Danio rerio: one gene and its partner. The protein of the gene in region 2 interacts with the protein of the main gene of each other region in a pairwise test. Links are inferred from orthologs where the notes say so. Each region holds a gene or a part of one and is shown on either strand. Other genes may lie near its edges.

Region 1 (10,480 bases), on a different chromosome or scaffold from region 2:
ATGTGGGCGGGGCTTGATTTTGTGCACAGGGAACTGATTGGACAGTTGTATTCTGCTATTGGTGGATCTCATTTGAGTGACAGGTTGACTCCACCCTCATAACAGTAAACACCAATCAGAAAACAGATGTCATTGGAGAGATGTTAATTTACAATAAACAAAATATTATAAAAGTTAATAGACAAACTTTATGGTGGCTTGAGAAAGCCTCGTCTACAAGTTTGAAGTAGCTTTAAAAGTTAAATCATTATAGTAGTTTTTAAGAAGCTTGCATTCTCAGGTTTCTAGTATGAGTTGTCATGTTTCTTGCTAAGGTGTACCTAGGGTGTTCTGAGTGGTTACTAAGGCATTGCTAGACGGTTGCTAGGGTGTTCTAGGTGGTTGCTAAGCTGTTCTGATTGGTTGCTAGGTGGTTGCTAGGGTGTTCTAGGTTGTTACTAAGGTGTTATTAGGTGGTTGCTACAGTGTTCAGAATGGTTGCTAAGGTGTTGCTAGGTGGTTGCTAAGGTGTTCTAGGTTATTGCTAAGGTGTTGCTAGGTCATTGCTAGGTGGTTGCCTAGATGTTCTAGGTGATTATTAAGGAGTGCTAGGCACTTCCTTAAGTGTTGCTAGGTGATTGCTAGGGTTTTCTTAGTGGTTGCTAAGGCGTTGCTAGGTGATTGCTCAGGTCTTTCTAGGGGGTTGCTAAGTGGTTGCTATGGTGTTTTTACTGGTGTCTAGATGGTTGCTAAGGCATAGGTGGATGCTAAGGTGATGTTAGGTGGTTGCTAGGGTGTTCTGAGTGGTTGCTAAGGTGTTACAAGGTGGTTACTACGGCATTGCTGGGTGGTTGCTAAGGTGTTGCTAGGCGTTTGCTAAGGTGTTCTGAGTGGTTGCTAACATAAATTAGCATGTTTCTAGTATTATGTATCTAGTATTAGCATTATGCTAGCATTTTTCAAGCTTAAATTAACACATTGTTAGGATGGTTCTAGTATGAATTAGCATGTTATTAGCATGTTTCTAGTATAAACTAGCATGTGGCAAGCATGCATTTAGTATAAATTAGCATGTTGCTAGTATTTGTATAGTATGAATTAGCATGTAACTAGTATGATCAGTATGTCCGTTAGTATGGATTGGTATGTTGTCAGTATGTCCAATGTAAAGTCAATGGCAGTTGTAACAATGGAAGGCTATGGGACAGTTGCTAGGGTGCCGTAAGTGGTTGCTAGGTGTGGCTAAAAAGTTGAAAGGTCATCAGTGATTGGCAGATTGGTAGTCTGAGATAAATGAGCCCAACCTTAAGTCTGTATGACAGTCTGGCGCAAAGTTATGAGAATCACAAATTTTAGTCCAATGTTAAGTCAATGGGACTTTTCTGAATATTCCAGGTCAGTTTTCAGAAAAGCCTAAGTCGGATCAGTTGGAAAAGATATGGCAACTTAATTCAGTATAGTTTGGAGGTTTGGTGTTAGTTTGGTGGTTGTAGTTTGAACAGTCTAGGAGGAGATGCATTTAGAAGTTAATCTCTGAAGAAGACGACGGAAGAATAAGAAGTTTAGAACAGTATGCTGCTTTCTCAAGCCGCCATAATAATTTATTATGAACAGTGCAATATTCCACAACAACAGCAATAATCAATCATACACTTTGTTTTTGCAGTGATAAAATCTCAGCTACTGTTTCCTGTTTGTACCTGGCAGTAAAAGGCCATTTCTGTCCACCAGAGCGACTCCGCAGAAGCCGTTATACTGCAGCGGCAGATGCTGGAAGTCTGCAGTGCTTTCAGGAAAACAGCATTCACACGAGCTCGTCTCTGACACCAGCACACGCTCCTCTGAACACACACACACACACACACACACAACATTAGGAATCTCTTCACACACAAAGACATCAGGAATCAGAGTATGAATCTCAACAACGATGATATTCTTCATGCTGCAGTGCATGCTGGGAGAATCCTACAAAACTCATGCACGGCTCCCAGAATGCACTGCAGCAATATATCAGCCTTCAACATAAGATTGAAACAATGAATAACAATTAATTTACTCAAATCTGTAGTTCAAACATGATTGAATAGCAGAGTCAGATGCTAACAGAGAGATGCTGCTCCTGTCGGCTTCACACACACCCTAGAAAACTACATCTAAATCTACAGTCAATATCCCTAATATTTCAGAACTTTGACAGAAATATAAACGAAATATAACTAAATATTAAAAATATGAACTTCAGAATAACTAATTATTAAAGATATAAACATCTCTGACTTTCAGTGTCTGGAAAAGAGCTTTTATAACCCCATGATGCTCCAGAAACCCTTAATCTGGAGTCGTGTCGATGAAGAGTTGAGTGAAACCAGCAGATCTGAGTGACATATTAACACGTGTGCGTGTGTTTGTGTGTGTGTGTGTGTGTGTGTGTGTGTGACCTGCTGTCCCAGAGCATCTGTCAGCATCAGTGCGCACCGGGAGCTCCATCTGATCTGGGGTCAGCAGAGACTCTGCTGTCAGGAAGACTCTCAGTCCAGACGCCACATTAGTGAGCATGCTCAGTAGCAGCATCTCCTGCTCTAGCCCCGCCCACAGCCGGCCCACTGCACTGAAATGAGGCTGAAGAGGAGAGGAACACACAGAAACTAGTTACCATGACGCCACTACAAAACAAACACTAACTAACCACCACACACGCACACTAACATTACTAATCAGCGCACACACACTAACAACACTAAACTGCACACACACACACACACACACACTAAACTGCCCTAAACCGCGCTCACACACACTAACCGCACACACACTGACATTACTAATCAGCGCACACACACTAACAACACTAAATAGCGCACACACACACACTAACATTACTAATCAGCGCCCACACACTAACAACACTAAACTGCACACACACACACACACACACACTAACATTACTAATCAGCGCACACACACTAACAACACTAAACTGCACACACACACTAACATTACTAATCAGCGAACACACTAACAACACTAAACAGCAGACACACAACACTAAACTGCACACACACACACACACACACACACACACTAAACTGCCCTAAACCGCACTCACACACACTAACCGCACACACACTGACATTACTAATCAGCGCACACACACTAACAACACTAAATAGCGCACACACACACTAACATTACTAATCAGCGCCCACACACTAACAACACTAAACTGCACACACACACACACACACACACACACACACACACACACACTAACATTACTAATCAGCGCACACACACTAACAACACTAAACTGCACACACACACACACTAACATTACTAATCAGCGCCCACACACTAACAACACTAAACTGCACACACACACACACACACACACACACACACACACTAACATTACTAATCAGCGCGCACACACTAACAACACTAAACTGCACACACACACACTAACATTACTAATCAGCGAACACACTAACAACACTAAACAGCAGACACACAATAACATTACTAATCAGCGCATACACACTAACATTACTAATCAGCGCACACACACTAACAACACTAAACTGTACACACACACACACACTAACATTACTAATCAGCGCACACACACTAACAACACTAAACTGTACACACACACACACTAACATTACTAATCAGCGCACACACACTAACAACACTAAACAGCAGACACACAATAACATTACTAATCAGCGCATACACACTAACATTACTAATCAGCGCACACACACTAACAACACTAAACTGTACACACACACACACACACTAACATTACTAATCAGCGCACACACACTAACAACACTAAACTGTACACACACACACACACTAACATTACTAATCAGCGCACACACACTAACAACACTAAACAGCAGACACACAATAACATTACTAATCAGCGCATACACACTAACATTACTAATCAGCGCACACACACTAACAACACTAAACTGTACACACACACACACACTAACATTACTAATCAGCGCACACACACTAACAACACTAAACTGTACACACACACACACACTAACATTACTAATCAGCGCACACACACTAACAACACTAAACTGTACACACACACACACACTAACATTACTAATCAGCGCACACACACTAACAACACTAAACTGTACACACACACACACAATAACATTACTAATCAGCGCATACACACTAACATTACTAATCAGCGCACACACACTAACAACACTAAACTGTACACACACACACACACTAACATTACTAATCAGCGCACACACACTAACAACACTAAACTGTACACACACACACACACTAACATTACTAATCAGCGCACACACACTAACAACACTAAACAGCAGACACACAATAACATTACTAATCAGCGCATACACACTAACATTACTAATCAGCGCACACACACTAACAACACTAAACTGTACACACACACACACTAACATTACTAATCAGCGCACACACACTAACAACACTAAACTGCACACACACACTAACATTACTAATCAGCGCACACACACACACTAACAACACTAAACTGCACACACACACACACACACACACACACACTAACATTACTAATCAGCGCACACACACACACTAACAACACTAAACGCGCTCACACACACACTAACCGCACACACACTGACATTACTAATCAGCGCACGCACTAACAACACTAAATAGCGCACACACACTAACATTACTAATCAGCTCACACACACTAACAACACTAAACCGCACACACACACACACACACACTAACATTACTAATCAGCGCACACACACACACACACAAACACACTAACAACACTAAACTGCACTAAACCGCGCTCACACACACACTAACCGCACACACACTGACATTACTAATCAGCGCACACACTAACAACACTAAATAGCACACACACACACTAACATTACTAATCAGCGCACACACAGCACACACTAACAACACTAAACCGCGCTCACACACACACTAACATTACTAATCAGCGCACACACACTAACAGCACACACACACTAACAACACTATACAGCACACACACACTAACATTACTAATCAGCGCACACACACAATATATACACACACACACACACTAACAACACTAAACTGCACACACACAACACACACTAACAACACACTAACATTACTAATCAGCGCACACACACTAACAGCACACACACACTAACAACACTATACAGCACACACACACACACACTATACTAATCAGCGCACACACACAATATACACACACACACACACTAACAACACTAAACTGCACACACAACACACACTAACAACACACTAACATTACTAATCAGCTCACACACACACACTAACATTACTAATCAGCGCACACACACTAACAACACTAAACCGCGCTCACAAAAACACACTAACATTACTAATCAGCGCACACACACTAACAGCACACACACACACACACACACACTAACATTACTAATCAGCTCACACACACACACACACACACACACACACACACACACACACACAAACAGCTATAAAACAATATCTGTGTATTCTCATTCCTCTTGGAGTGTCCGTGTCTGTGCATGTGTTAGACATCAGTCTCAATATTCAGTTTCTGCAATAAACGTCTCTGCATCTTTCGGTTCACACAGACTTTAATGCAGATTTATGCACTGTGTCATATCACTCAGCTCTTACTGTGGTTTTTCTGTAGTGAAAGACCGCAATACACTTTAATATCAGTTACTATGGTGAAACAGTGTAAAATGCAGTATATGAGGGACTCACAAACACGTGTGTTGTTGGCACTGTAGTTTTGGTGTGAATGGCGTCTCTCAGGAGTGTCATTCGACTCATCAGATCCGACTGTAAACGTGTCACTTCCTGTGCACACAGGATGACGTCCGCCTGATGGAAACATCAACACCACATTATTACACTGTTTACATAATTAAACACTCATTCGTTACACCCCCTGTTGTCTGAAAACTCAACATTAGTGCTCATTCACAATTACATGCTGTATTTGACTCAAATAAATAAAAACCCTTCTGCTGAATATGAATATGCATGATGAAAAACATTTGTTAGGGTCAGTATATTCTACACAATATCTGTCTATTCTCGCTCCTCTTGAAGTATGTGTGTCTATGTGTTAGACATCAGCCTTTCCAGATCACTGAGCGCCTACTCACACCATGCTATCTGAATCATGCCCAGGCCCGTTTCCTGGATCGTTTGAGAAGTGTGAGTGCTCTGAATCAGGGTCAGGCACGGTTCACTTGGCCAGCCCTGGCCCGGTTCGAAGAGGTGGGCTTGAGTACCATACAATTGTGTGAGATTGCAAAACGTGCCTGAGCCCGAAACTGAAAGCGAGACGTGACTTTTAAGGGACTGTTTGATATGGATTTATTAATCATTCTTACCGTTCAATAATCACAAACTGTCGTAGATTATTAAAGACGCAAACCACTCACTGCACCACAGCTGCACCTTCAGCAAACCTCCTAATTCTTGCAGCTCGAGGACTTTATGATTGTTTATGAGCGTCAAAAGTGGCTGATCTGTTCAGCGAAATATTTGACTGCATGTCACTGCATATCAAACCACTAAAGCGATATGACTGAAGAAATCTCCACTGTGCTGAGCGAGAGCGCTTACTGGACAGCGCAGCATCAATGACGTGCCCAGGCCCGAATGTAATGTGAGTGCGGGCTGTTAGGGGAGACGAGAGGTGGGGACAAGCGTGCTTTGTCCTGGTTCAAGGCAACTGTACATAGTGTGAGTACGCCCTTACATTCATTCATTCAATCATTCATTTTCCTTTCGGCTTTAGGGCGTACTCAGCACTCTACTGGACTGCTGGAGCTCAGACGCTGGAGCACATGACAAAGTGTACGTGTGTGTGGTCATGTGGTGTGCATTTTCATCGGTATCGTGTGGACGGAGGCTTGTTCAAAAATACTAAATGAAACGCCAGTGTGGATGTGGATTGTTTTCGTTTTAAAATGGCATTTTAAAATTACAGTTTTTCTTGTTTGCTTTGACCTGGTTAAAGAAACTAGGTTCCACTTCATTTTCATTATCACTATCACAGCAGAGCAGAAGACAGGTCTTGCAAATGTGTAAACCCTTTCTCATTGGGTTGACACATTTTCCCCACCATTTTTCAAAAGCGTTAACACGGATGTCATTCAAGCAGTCCAAACTCCATTGTTTTAGCTATGATAACCAAACAGAAACCATCTATTCCTAACCATTAGAAACCACCAAGATCAGTATGAATCCACTGAAGCACCGGTTTGACACTCCTTCACACAAATCTTCATTTAGCAATCAGTCTGCAAACATTGAAAATGGTGGAAGGTCTGTGTTGTTCTGTGACAGCATGGATGGAGAAGGTCAATAGTGGCTATGTGCCATATTCCCAAAAGATTTCACTGTATATTGGTTTACATGTGTGCATTTTTTTACAGTATTGCATTTTTCAGCCACAGTTTGAAAAATGTCATGAATTCAATATAAATTTAATCAAAGTATTTCTTATTCTGGATCCAATTCTCTTTGCAAAAAGGCAAATTTGACAGCCCAAATAGAAAGACAACAAATGGCATTGGCAATAGGCTACAATGTCAAGCAACAGTGCACTGATTCACACTGAGTTCTGTATTTTGTTGTCTATTGTGTAATGATTAATTGAAAGAGTTCATATACTTGTTTGCAAGTTGTGTTGTTTGAAGGTAAAACTAGCTTTTGTTGTATATGTTAAATGTTTTGACACGGTATGTGCATTTTGCAAGCAAATTGTGTCATTTTGACCAAGAGTGCCGCTGTTTAGGCCAGTGTGTGTTAACTGTTTTGAAAATGTGGAGTTTCAGTTGACGGCTGCATCAAATCAATCAAGAAAAACTGTAAGATCAAGTGTGCCGCAAGCCTACGTTTGAGTGAAGGTCTCGGCCGTTAGATCGCCCCCTTGGGGCTGGCTGCAGTACAAGTCATAAAGCCCGCCTCCTCCGTGTTAATGAAGGAGACTTGAGCCCAAGTAAAAAAAATTATTACACTTGCAATAAAATGTCCCGAAAGATGGTTCTGGTGGATTAAGGCGCTGGTTATTGTGCTGAAATAGGTGCAGATCTTCATTTTTGTAAACAGTTTGTTTTTAGCAGTAATTTAATGCTGGGCGTGTCATCGTGATTGACAGCGGTGATTGACAGTTTCTCAAAGCAGCGCGTCTGAGCTTCGGCAGGAGACTGAAGTGTTTTTATTCGATTTCTGTGTTATTTTACCATGATAAGATGAGTTCAGCAGTAAACTACAGTTTCTGACATACATGATCCTGGTGGAACACTGTTTATTCGCTAAGGTCAGAGCTTTTTTCGGGCTTTATTAGTTTGCTGATACACGCCTAACCACCCAGATGACAAAATACACTCGGACCAGTTCGGCTAGATTCTCGCCTGCCGGAGACTTACCCCTCAGAGCTCAGACTGACTACCTCTGCTGGACCTACTCCGGATGCCTGGACTCACTGCCCGATTCCAGCCCGAGTCAATCGAGCCAGATGCGGCGGCCGAGCGAGCCGGCGCTGCCGCATGCGAGGCGGAATCAGCCCGCGACGCCGCGAGTAGGTTAAGCGCTGCGGCCCGGAGCTGGCGCGATTGAATATAAAAAAAAACTCATATTTGTTAACGTTATTACATCCATTTGTGTTGATATGACAGCAAACGCATGCTGAGAAGTTCGGGGGGCGTGGTTGATTTTACATAAAGCGTTTGGTTGGAAGCTCGACTCATTTTCGCGGCTCCTCCTCTGGCTCCATCAGACAGTCCTTCTGCGCATGTCAAGGCTCCAATTTCAGCAGTCTTTTGAGACAGTTTGTGCCCGTAAAGCAGGTGTTTTGCCCTCAAGGCGTTTAATGGGAAAAGGGGCTGTCGCGTCGTCCATATTTTTTACAGTCATTGTGTAAGACGTATTAGTGTGAACGGGGCCTAAATGTGTCGTTTTCGCGAGAGGGTTGCTGCTGCAACGGGGGCGGAGGATCGCAATGCCGGATCAGCATCGTGATATCTATCAACCATCGGCGATGGACAATGGCATGGTCTATTAACCCAACCCTACATCGCGTAAACGTCAGTGACAGGACACTCATTAATATTCATGACCCTTCCAAATAAGGTAAAAACTGATCATTTTATCCCAGGGCAGACTCCTAAGGGGGTAAACTAAGATGTTAAACTGTTTCTGGAGATCGTTTGCACTCAGCAAATCTTCACACCTTCTCTGTAGATATCAGAGATCAGTTTAAACATGTTGATTCAGAGCTCTCTGGCAGCTGTAGTTTGGCTTATTATTATTTTAGCAGCAGAGATGAGTGTGAACGCACCAGTGTGAGTCTGAGGAAGGCCTCATGCTGCCGTGTGTTGTACAGAGCCTGTGTGAGCAGCCGGGGCGGGACGGGGCTCTGGCTGTGTGCTGTGTCCCGCTCAGAGATCAGCTCCAGCAGGCCGGTGTACTGCCAGCACAAACGCTCGCAGGACGCCAGTTCACGCTCCAGATCTGAGACGACGCCCGGCAGCTTCTCGTTCAGGATAGACGGCACTGCAGGAGGAAACACACACCCGACATGAGCTGATGATGATGATGATGATGATGATGAAGATGATGAAGAGGCAGACGTACGGCTCTGGATGGCCTCTCCTCCTTCACCGTTGTCCTTGTTGAAGAGCCGAATGCCACTGACGATTAGAGAGTTTTCCTTCAGCTGCTGCTCTTTGTCTGATTTCAGCAGAGACATGAAGCTTCCCAGCTGAGACGGGGGAAAGATGCTCTGCAGAGCCGCTAAAAGACACACACACACACACACACACACAATCAAAAAAAACGGTTGGAGCTCTGGATGATATAGTGGACTACGGTGCCGTACAGCTTCAGTGTGTGTGTTTGTATGTGTGTGTGTACCTGTGGTCTCTCTCACGGTGTTGATGTCTGTGCTGGAGCTCAGGTTGGAGCTCTGGATGATGTAGTGGACTATGGTGCCGTACAGCTTCTTCAGATCTTCTCTGCTCTTTGCTCTGCTGTCAGTGATTTCTCTGCTCAGCGACTGCAGACGAGACTGAAGGAGCTTCTGCTGCATCTCCAGAAACTCCCCTGAGACACACACACACACACCTGAATCACTGAATGATGAATCTGGTTTGTCCCTCATGCTGAACAGCGCTGGAGCTCTTAGTAAAGATCAGATCATCATCAGGTTTCAGCAGTTCTTTACTAATGACTCCTGGAAACTTGCAGCTCTCAGTGAATGTAGACGAGGACTTTTGTAGCCGTCTGACAGAAAGAAAGTCAGTCCGGTCAGTAATAAAGGAGCTACTGATATGGTTTGTGGAGGTGTTTCATGATCTTCTGCTAATATTCTGACAGATTGAGTGTGTTTTACTTTAGTTGTGTTCATCTACGGCTGTAACTGAAGTCCAATTA
Region 2 (11,030 bases):
GATTCCCTAACATTTGCACACATCTCAATCTACCGTTTGGAGCTTTTTGGGAGCAGCAGCTCGGGGTGGAGGAGGTGCCTCTTCAGCATCAGAATCATCTGAACCCTCCCGCTCTGCTTTTTCCTCAGCTGCAGTCTTTCGCAGGCCAGCACTCACAAAGCTCACGGGAGTGGAATAGTCTTTCGCTCTGTGTGGATACAAATCAGGGTCATTTAAATAGTATATAGTATTTGTATAACACCTTAAAACAACATGAATGATGACCAAAGTGCTTCACAGACATGGCAAAATAACAATCATTAGAAAAAAACACAGTAAACATACAATAAATTAAAATATAAAAATAATTTTAAAAGATATGTACAGTCAAAAGTACTAAAACAAAAACTAAGTTTTATAAGTAAGCCAAAGAGGTAGGTTTTGACCCATTGTTTTTAAATACTTCATGTAGGTGAAGCACTAATAATCAATTCAGATGCTCAATATCAATACAAAATGCCAAATAATAATGCAAAACGCTTAAACTGTGCAATGCTGATGTCAATTATTTACAATTGATGAATAAAATAAAAATTGAAAATGTACAAGCATTTATTAAATAGTTTTATCTTATGTGTGAATGTCACTTTAGTTTACCTAATTATTCAATTTAGGAAAAGGATGTCAAAAGGAGTTAAACAAAAAATTTACTTTAATTTACTTTAACTGCTGTTATTTGATATTTTATTATCTAAAAAACTTTGTTAAATACATTACTTAATACATCTATTATTAAAAAAGACATCGTAAGTTCTCTAGCTGTTTGACAACAACCAAATACCTTTTTCCTCCAAAGCTGGGCCGTTCATCATCAGAGTCCTGCTCTGCCCAAATCCCATAAGTTGCTTCTTCTTTAGTCTGTCTGTATCTGCGTCTGTCCGGATTGAACTCATTGGCCAAGTCCCACTCCGACACCTCAAACTTCTCAATCTCCACACCATCCTCCTCCTCCTCATCACCCCTACGCCCATACAAATGGGACATAGACATCTTTCTGTTGGAAAGAAATTCAAGTTTTAGTCCAGGGGTTCTCAAACTGGGGATCCCTAGTTGGCTAAAAGAGATTAATATTGGGTTATGAAAACTTAAATTGTATTAAAATTAATACATATTACAATTACAGCATTAAACAGTGTTATAGAGCAGGGGTTTCCAAATTTTTCAAACACGCAACCCCCAACATAACAATGTCAGTGACTTGCAACCCCCACATTCCTCGGAGATGGTTATAAGTGTTGCTTATATAAACACAAGCATATTGACAACACAAAAAGGTGCAACAGTCTAACAACAACAGGCTGTAATTTATATTGGTCATTTATGAATTTGTTTAATTTAATATTAACCTCACCTAATGAGAATGGTGTGCACAATGTTTTCAGCACAAGTCTATTCTTGGTTTAATTTTGGAGACCACCACTCAGAGATCATTCTCAATGTTCAGTTGTGGCCTGTTTGATGTATTCGATTGCTATCAAGGTGTCAGAAAGTTTAACCTGCTGCTACAAAATCAATCTGCTGCAGCTGACGCTATTATTGTAAACACACTAATTCTATGAAAAAAATCATTTAAAGGCTGATGGCTTTTTTTCTTTTTTTGCATGTTGCTTTTTTATGAAACTATTACCTACTTTTTTATATCCTCTGTGGGTTATGGATAAAATATGGTACTTCTAATAATTTAATGAGATTTATTTGACTTTTGGATATCACCAAGCGACCCCCTGTCATTTCATTGTCTTGCTCTTTTTTTGCAACTTGTTACAATGTTATGATAATATTATTTTGCTATTTTTTTTTAAACAAGAAAATTTGAATACAATCATATGCATGACCAAAGATTTCTCACAGTATTTGTAGTAATACTGTCATTGTTTCTTTACACAAATAATATAATACAAAAAAAATTATAATAACACAAACCATGATTAGCATCTGAGAGCACAAAATATTTGAATGAAGATATGTCAGTATTTAGATATAATGTGTAAGTTACGTTAGGTGCATAAAATTGTAGGATATCATCCCTCTCATTTGCTTAGTGGTGTTTTAGGGTCTGCTGGGTCTACATAGGATTAAAAAACATCACTTACATAAGCAAAACAGTAATGTTGGATACATAAGCACAAACATCCGTAAACAGAGTGTTCGGTCCGTGTATCATCCGTTCATTTGATTATTCCTTTTATTACGGAAAACGAAACATCAGAAAAACGATGAATATTTCGTTTTTCTGTTTATTCTGTAGGCAGAAAAAACGGAAACTCATCTGTTATTCTGCTTATTAACTTAAAACGAAATATTAAAACAAACACAAAACCAAAACGAAATAATGAGTCAAAAAATGGTCCGTGTACGGTCCGTGTACATTTTGTTCATTTTTTTTCCAGTTTCAAACGGAATAAAGGAAATGGAGAAAACTGCCGTTTTTCCGTTTTTCTTTTGCTCACGAGAAAACGAAAAAACAAGATTTTGGCTGGATTTTCGTTTTTTGGTTTAGGGTAGGAAAACGGATAAACGACTTTAAAATTCATTTTACACATGTAGGCGGTGCTGAAACGCCCACTTTCCTCTAATTGGTCAACCAAATCTGCGCTCGTGACGTCACCCTCAAAATAAAAGCCTTACACGCAGGCTTTTAATTATTATTATTTAATTATATATATATTAACTAAGTTTACAGATTCTATCATTTGAACCACACACATTTAGCAGGCTTACATTCATTGCGTATGTATAAATTAAATAAAAACGTAAATCAGCAGTATTCTTAGACATTTGTCATTAAAATAAGGTCATAGTTCACTGCCAAGCTTCTTGCTGCTGTGCACCTGATGCAGAGCAAAGATAGCCATTTCCGAGCAGCACCTGGTTTGCATGATTGTTTCAGAGCAAGGGCTTTATAATAATAATAATAATAATAATAATAATAATAATAATAATTATTATTATTATTATTATTATTATTATTATTATTATCAGTTACTAGTGTTTTTATTGTTTGGTGTGTTTTTTTTCTTTTTAATAGTTGTTAGCAGAACCCGAATAAGAACACTTTGGGCCCTGCTATAAAAACAAAGGGTACCATTTGTTTTCATTTATTTCTTCCTATTTTAATTATATATTGTAATTATTTATTTGATAATTAATACTATTTTATTGCAACGCCAAAGTAGGCCTGTCTTATTATTATTTTTTTTAATTAAATTTGCTGTTATTGTAGGCTAGATGGCAGGCTTTAAATATTTTAAATAACATTTACTCATAACCTTACTAATTCGAGAGCCGAACCTAAAAAAGTTTAAGTGCAATAAGCCTGTACAATAAAGGGAGCCGCAATGCATATTTCTAGCGCATTCTTTCACTCAACAATTATTGCTGGAATAATGACATAAATTTCAAATTAACTAATTAAACACATTATAGTTGATAAAAAAATTGTGTCTAGTAGTTCCGACAAACAGATGAGCTCGCTACATGTGCGTTGCGCTAATAATTTGACATTTGCTCTTCTTGAGAAAGTGCTACAGCGGGCCCTGCTATTTCACATATAAGGTTAGTGATACGTATTTTAAATTAGTATTGCACATTATTCATTCATTTTCTTGTCGGCTTAGTCCCTTTATTAATCTGGGGTCGCCACAGCGGAATGAACCGCCAACTTATTTAGCAAGTTTTTATGCAGCGGATGCCCTTCCAGCCACAACCCATCTCTGGGAAACATCCACACATACACACACACTTATACAGTACGGACAATTTAGCCTACCCAATTCACCTGTACCGCATGTCTTTTTACTGTGGGGAAAACCGGAGCACCCGGAGGAAACCCACGCGAACGCACTACACTACTGAATTAGACACACAATCTCAAAAAAAAACTTGATGCTTATTTACATTATCTAAAGTCATTTCTTACGAGGTAGGATCTGTTGTTGTATTATATATTTTCGTTTTAATATGCAAATAATTTTCTTTAATTTGTAATAGGTCCCTCATTGCATAAAATAACCAGCCTTTGTATTCAATATGTTTGTAAATTGTCCATCCAGTTTGACGCAAGCTAAACAACATTTTGGCCTGTTTTGCTTATTAAATGAGTGATTTTCACGGAGAAACAAATCATCCATCCACACAGTTTTGTATAGGACCTGTGTGAACAAAAATATACACTTCATTATAGCCTATAGGAAAATGTATCTGTTTAGAACCAATTTTGTGTTGTATAATTAAAAATATTAAAAATACAATAATAAAAAAAAGGAATAACATTTGAAGTGCAATGCTTCAAAGATCCAATACGCTGCATGCAGAGCCAAAACAAAAACTGGTTTGTTTGTTTAATAAAATAATAATATGAAATTAAAGTGAAATAGTTCCATAACCTGTATTATAACTGTAGTCACTCTAGATGACAAATCATCCGTTGCGCCGGTCAGTTTCACCTTTAATCAAGAATGTGCCAGAACCAAATGAGAATATTTACAGATTACCTCGGAATGAGATCTCGGTCTGTGAAGAATGCAGAACACAGAAACTCGTTGAGAATGGAGATGCATGTTAGATGTTTTATATCCCTTTAGATATTGTAAATAAACAACTAGTTTTTATAGAGATTGTGTCATGTCTTTTCTTTGACGCACGCGCTGAACAGCCTGTAGCCTAAATAATAGTTTAGATTTTATAACATATAATGTTTTATTACTTTAAATGTATAATGTTTTTTAATATTTATGGAATATATAAAATATATAGTTTATATAAATGCGCTCTGATCATTCAAGGATCATAATGCGTTGCATATTCTTCTTATTCTTCATTAGGCTTGATCCGTAAATTGTGTATTTTATAAACTGATCGTTTATAAGGATTAAGCTATTAATAACTGTAATTCCTCGAATGGAAAAGTCTTGATTAAAGAAAAAGAGAACTTAATTCGACATATGCATATAGTGCGCTTATTTCTGCGCGCATCGCGCGCTTTACCGAATTACCTTTTTTATTTTTATGCACTATAAATGCATCTGGCAGCACCGAAAAGAGCAAATGCCAAGTTATTAGCGCAGCGCACAGACAGCTAGCTCGTCTAGTCTGAACCAGGGGTTTTCAAACTATTCATTGCACACCGATCCCATTGCATTTTATTTAGGATAAACCACTTATTTAAAATTAATTAATTAAAAGGTGCGTACTCTCCAATACACCACTGTAGTGTCATAATATTTAATAATTATAATTAAGATAGACACCTGACCTCCATTTAATAAACAATTTATTTGCCATACTCTGTTAATTTGAAGTTTAAAGTTTAAATCATTTATGTTAAACTTAAATTATTTAAAAACTTAAAAAGACTTACATTTAGTCATTTAAGACATTTTAGGTCATAAGTTTACATACATTGACCGTTGCATTTAGTAGGCCTATTCTGGTCTAAATAAGCTTTTTGCATCTTAGGTGTTTACACACACAAATTAAGCAGTTTATACGTACATTTAATGTTACTTTGAAATTACTTTTGATGCAATAAATAATCCTAAATAGTTGAAAGTGTTAACATATTCTTGAAATGTAGTTATTTTATAACTATGAAATTTATTACTAAACAAAGTGAATCATTATGAATTTGCCAAGAAATAATCCACTTTACCACCGTAAAGCAATGCCCCACACTCACTAGAACGGTAGAACCTGGACTGTATGATATGTTCTGTATGTAAAATAGAGAAAATAAGCAAGATGCGCAGTCTCATGTAGCCTTAGTGAAATATAGCGCGTCACAGCAATGAACTAAAAATAAAACCACCCTTGAAATGCTGGCGATCTTAATTTTTTCAGCCTACACTGACTGAGAATAATGTTGCACTATTTAATTAACAAATAATTAGAATGTTTTTTTTTTCCTTCAACACATTCATCATTACTTTTGCCTGTGCAAGTTTTTTTGCGCGTGCTTGAGTGCGAAGGCATCTATTTTCAGGTGCAAGATGCCACTTTGGGTGGCACCAGCACACTCTGCCACACCTGTGGCTATGTCCCTGCTACAATAATAATAACAACAACAACGACAAAATAATAACAAAAAATAATAATAATAAGACAGGCCTACTTTGACGTTGCAATAAAAAAGTATTAATTATCAAATAAATATTTACAATAGGCTAAAGGCACATATTAAATTAAAATAGGAGAAAATCCAATAGAAACAGGTACCATTTATTATAGCCCCATGCAGGGTCCATTGTGTTCTTACAACCATTAAATAACTAAGTAAATAATAATAATAACAATACTGCTAATAATAGGCCTAATAATAATAATAATAATAATAATAATAATAATAATAATAATAATAAATTATTATTTTATACAGAGTAGGCTATTATTTAGGCCTACAATAGCTCTGAAACAATCATGTAAACCAGGTGCTGCTCGGAAATGGCTATCTTTGCTCTGCATCAGGTGCACAGCAGCAAGAAGCTTGGCAGTGAACTATGACCTTATTTTAATGACAAATGTCTAAGAATACTGCTGATTTACGTTTTTATTTAATTTATACATACGCAATGAATGTAAGCCTGCTAAATGTGTGTGGTTCAAATGATAGAATCTGTAAACTTAGTTAATATATATATAATTAAATAATAATAATTAAAAGCCTGCGTGTAAGGCTTTTATTTTGAGGGTGACGTCACGAGCGCAGATTTGGTTGACCAATTAGAGGAAAGTGGGCGTTTCAGCACCGCCTACATGTGTAAAATGAATTTTAAAGTCGTTTATCCGTTTTCCTACCCTAAACCAAAAAACGAAAATCCAGCCAAAATCTTGTTTTTTCGTTTTCTCGTGAGCAAAAGAAAAACGGAAAAACGGCAGTTTTCTCCATTTCCTTTATTCCGTTTGAAACTGGAAAAAAAATGAACAAAATGTACACGGACCATTTTTTGACTCATTATTTCGTTTTGGTTTTGTGTTTGTTTTAATATTTCGTTTTAAGTTAATAAGCAGAATAACAGATGAGTTTCCGTTTTTTCTGCCTACAGAATAAACAGAAAAACGAAATATTCATCGTTTTTCTGATGTTTCGTTTTCCGTAATAAAAGGAATAATCAAATGAACGGATGATACACGGACCCTGTTCTCGGATGACAAAAACTGATTAGTAACTTAGAGTGCGTGAAGCAAACGTTTCCCAGAAAAATCATGTTAGCTTAGCAATGCCACTCTGTTGTAAACAAAGACACATACCTTCCCTTAAATCAGGTATTGTCAATATTCCGTCATGGTCAACTCTGAAATAAACTATTGTGTTTAAAAATAACAGTGTGTAGACAGAATTACCTGAAAATGTGGTTTCTTGTTATAGACTTCAGCTTATCCGACAGTGACTTCCTGTTGGGACCGGAAGCAGAGCAGTGACATCAGAGTGACGCAGAGGTCAGAAACCCTCTCTCACAGCCATCTTGGATCCTGTGCCCTGAACTAGTGAGTACTCCTGCGTAAAATCTATTGTCATCCAACGTTGCTTTAGCCAATTCAATACATAATTTGTAGCTTATGCTGATGCTTTAGTGTAGCTGTGTTTGGAATGGTAAAGATTTGTAAATTTGCTTGGCTTATTGAGGAAATATGTTGATGATTACAACTGGCTGACTGTTCAAAATGGGGGAGCGAGACGCACCACCGCTCGCTATACTTCAGCCGTGGGCTTTGTGTCTAACGAAAATGTTAACCCTGCAAAAAGTTGCACTATATACAACTATAGCGATATATTGTGAGAAATCTGTAATTTAATCGTACGAAAGGTTGTTGCGTGACGTGCGACAATAAACACTGGCTGGATAGTTAACTTCGCTGCCTAAACATGTAACGTTTCTAAAAACGCATGCTGTGTCAACAGTATAACCTAACGTTACATTATAAAGGATTATAAACTCATTTCTTTAAAAAAGTTTTATTGTAATTTGTGTAATGAGGTTCTTTCATTCAGCAGTAACGTGTCAGAGCTCCTCTGTTAAGATACACACGTGAAATGTGCAACACAGTGCACGCGCACACATGAACAGTGTGTGGAACTGTTTGGGGACGTTATAAGCCTTATTTGTTCAGTTTGCCTGTTTGCAATTGATAAAGCTCACAAATTCTGTTCGGTGGCCTTGTGAAATGTTATCATGTAGCTCAATACTTTGAGACAACAGCAGTGTTTAACTGAGCCGGTAGTGGGACAGCTGACAGCCAGCAGAGGCCTACAGGAAGAGGCCTAGAGTGCTGCTGTTTCAATAGAAAAAGCCTCATTAACACAAAGCACTGACTAACGCATGTCTAAACCTTCATGCAGACTTTGTAAAGCTTATAATGTATTGTTTCTCATTTCTGTTTTAGTCCAGAATGCCAGGCGAAGCCACAGAAACTGTCCCTGTTACAGAGCAGGAGATGCAGCAGCCCCAGGCTGAGACGGGTTAGTACTGCTTTTAAAAGTGCATGTCTGATACTAAACACTGGTTGTCTAGGTGGTCCTGGAAATATTGTTTATTGTACTGGTTATTATCAAAATGTTGCTTATTCTATTCAGGGTGTTTTTGCACCTGTTTTAGCCTTTCTTCAGGTTTCTTTTAGGGTCTTCTCGCAGCTGTTGTAGAGATTTCGCATAACAAGTTTCTCTAGTCAGAGTGGTGTAGGGTGGGGATACAGTTGAGTCAGTTTTTCTCCTCCTAGAGGTTTTAGGTTAATGTGCTTGAGCTACTCCCTGAATAAAAAAACACAAATTACTAGTCCGTTTAAAGGCAGGGCTCTGTACTAACTTTTGAGAGCAGTGCCGCCAAGTTCTACAAATGAAGGCTTTAGTATCACGGGTTCAAAATATAATAGGATTGCATTTTTTGTCTCAGAAATGTAGTTAACTGTAGATTGAGGTAAACAGTATACATGCATGTTAAATGACAAATTCATGAAAACCCACAGGATTTAGCCACTCTGCTATGATAAAACAAGCTAATTTAAAAATATTTTGTTTCTGTGGTATATGTAAAAAAATATATATATATTTGTTTATAGACTTAAACTAATTAAAATTATGTGCACAATAACATTGTTTATATGAAAACTTGAAATATGACAAAAAGTTACTTGGATTCTTATTAAACTTGCAATAAAAACACACTGGTATAAATGCACAAACATTAGCCTGTGCTTTTAATCTTTTAATACTTTAATATAAATGTACATTAAATATAATGTATAATATATTGTATAATACTATACAATTCTGTATGTGTATGCCATTTTCTGCCAAAAATATAACATTAAGTTAATACCGTTACATTTGAGTTATAAGTAAATACATGGATGATTTACTTGTTTCACAGTGTTTCTCCTGTTTCACTTGTCTTTGCTTTTGACAGTATAACCTGAGCCTGAAGCCCTGTTTTTAAAGGGTTGCTTGGACTATATTCATGTAATAAAAAAAAAACTGGCCATCAATTTTCATTATAGGGCAATTCTGCTGTATGTTATCGATTTAATTGTTTTTCAAAGTTTATTTTGTTTCAGAAAATAGTCACATTAGTTTAAAAGATCATTTAACTCCATTGACCTTTTATTTGAATGAAAATGCTACATCACAAGGAAATGGAAGATCATTTTGTTTTTTAAGTAATCCAGGACCACCTTGGTCAACAGTTGGTTTCTCTGTACAGTAAATCGAAGTCTAACGGTTTGTGTGAATGGAGTATGGACATTGCAACCCAGCATGATTTTCCTAACTTTGCACTGATTTTAGTAATCATGACTCAAACAGTTGTTACTCCTAGGATATTGTGTTAGGTTAGAAAGTGTACTGTTTGGTTCAGGGATTGTTCAAAAAATGCAATTGTTTTGGCAAGATCTTTCCTTTTTTTGTTTTAGGAACATGAACATATATTTCAGATTGTATACAAGGAACAACAGCTTTTGTCCAAAGTGTGGGGTGCAACAGGCATTTTACATTTGGAAGTTGATAGGTTTGTGAAGTCAACTTCTAAGTGTACAAACACTTTAGGATGCTACCATTTATGATAAGCTAAAGTTATGACTACAAGCCAGTGAAATTAACCATGAACTGGCATATGTGTTATAGTAAACAAACCATGTAGTTTAATATAATTGTTTTAGCTTACTAATTCAAGTGAAAATAGTTTGTACCCAGAAAGATAGTGTTTTTTTGTTTTGTTTCTTTGGTGCTTTGTTTTTAAGATGTATGCATTTGAACCTTTTTAGAACATGTACTGTATATATCAATATTAGTGTTTCCAAAAGAACCAGTACTTCAGTACCAAATGGCTTCTAAAGAAAAAAATTAACACTTCCATGTTTTCTTATATACTGGTACAGAGGGCCTAGTCCGGTACCATAAGTGAAAGCTGCTAATGCTGCTAACGAGACTGCCCTGAATCTACTTGTTGTTTAAAAAAGGAAAGCCACAATATCAACAATTAATATCTCTTTCATTCTGTACTCAAATGTGGAGCAATGAAACCCATAAACACTTGCCTATTGCTCCCAAACATGTCTTTTAGATGCAGATATAGCCTAAGCTAAATTTTAAATGTAGTCTAATAAACATATTGTAAACTTCCTTCAGCATGCACATTTGGCAGCATAAACCACAGAACATTTGTATTTATTTAGTTATCACATGCTAGCACTGTTGAAAGAGTAAGTTTGAAGTCAGAGTGAATTTTCTAGCATGTGCTCAGTTTTTTTTTTTTTTTTTTTTTTTTAAGTCATACTGTTTTGTTATGCGTGCTTCTATATACATAAAACAATCCCTTAAGTTTAAAATGATGACTTGTATAGCCAAAAATAACACCTAATAAGTATTTGTTTAAGCTTCATTTTGATGGTCTTTGATGGAACTGAAACATGCGTGAGTTTCTTTTAGTCTCATATTTTAGTTACGCTACACTGCTGAAATGCCCAGGCTATAATTTCCAGTTAATCCTTGGCTTGTTATAAGA

Evidence for each region. The genes of interacting proteins can lie anywhere in the genome.
Region 1: the proteins of tfip11 (region 2) and cfap206 interact in binary tests that used the Homo sapiens proteins (3 or more experiments, as listed by UniProt). The two-hybrid records come from large-scale screens. The link is inferred for Danio rerio from reciprocal best matches to the Homo sapiens genes TFIP11 and CFAP206.

The regions. Positions count from the first base shown.
Region 1 is NC_133195.1:2,741,065-2,751,544, forward strand, and holds part of cfap206 (cilia- and flagella-associated protein 206), read right to left. Parts: exon of another isoform or gene 10,209-10,480; coding exon of another isoform or gene 10,151-10,208; coding exon 9,962-10,150; intron 9,842-9,961; coding exon 9,683-9,841; intron 9,602-9,682; coding exon 9,387-9,601; intron 5,912-9,386; coding exon 5,792-5,911; intron 5,712-5,791; exon of another isoform or gene 5,505-5,711; intron 4,083-5,504; exon of another isoform or gene 3,542-4,082; intron 2,602-3,541; coding exon 2,421-2,601; intron 1,821-2,420; coding exon 1,680-1,820; intron 1-1,679. UniProt on the Homo sapiens protein: Essential for sperm motility and is involved in the regulation of the beating frequency of motile cilia on the epithelial cells of the respiratory tract. Required for the establishment of radial spokes in sperm flagella.
Region 2 is NC_133198.1:20,759,646-20,770,675, forward strand, and holds the start of tfip11 (tuftelin-interacting protein 11), read right to left. Parts: upstream 7,431-11,030; 5' UTR 7,378-7,430; exon of another isoform or gene 7,285-7,377; intron 4,552-7,284; 5' UTR 4,425-4,551; intron 1,034-4,424; 5' UTR 1,030-1,033; coding exon 821-1,029; intron 188-820; coding exon 34-187; intron 1-33. UniProt on the Homo sapiens protein: Involved in pre-mRNA splicing, specifically in spliceosome disassembly during late-stage splicing events. Intron turnover seems to proceed through reactions in two lariat-intron associated complexes termed Intron Large (IL) and Intron Small (IS).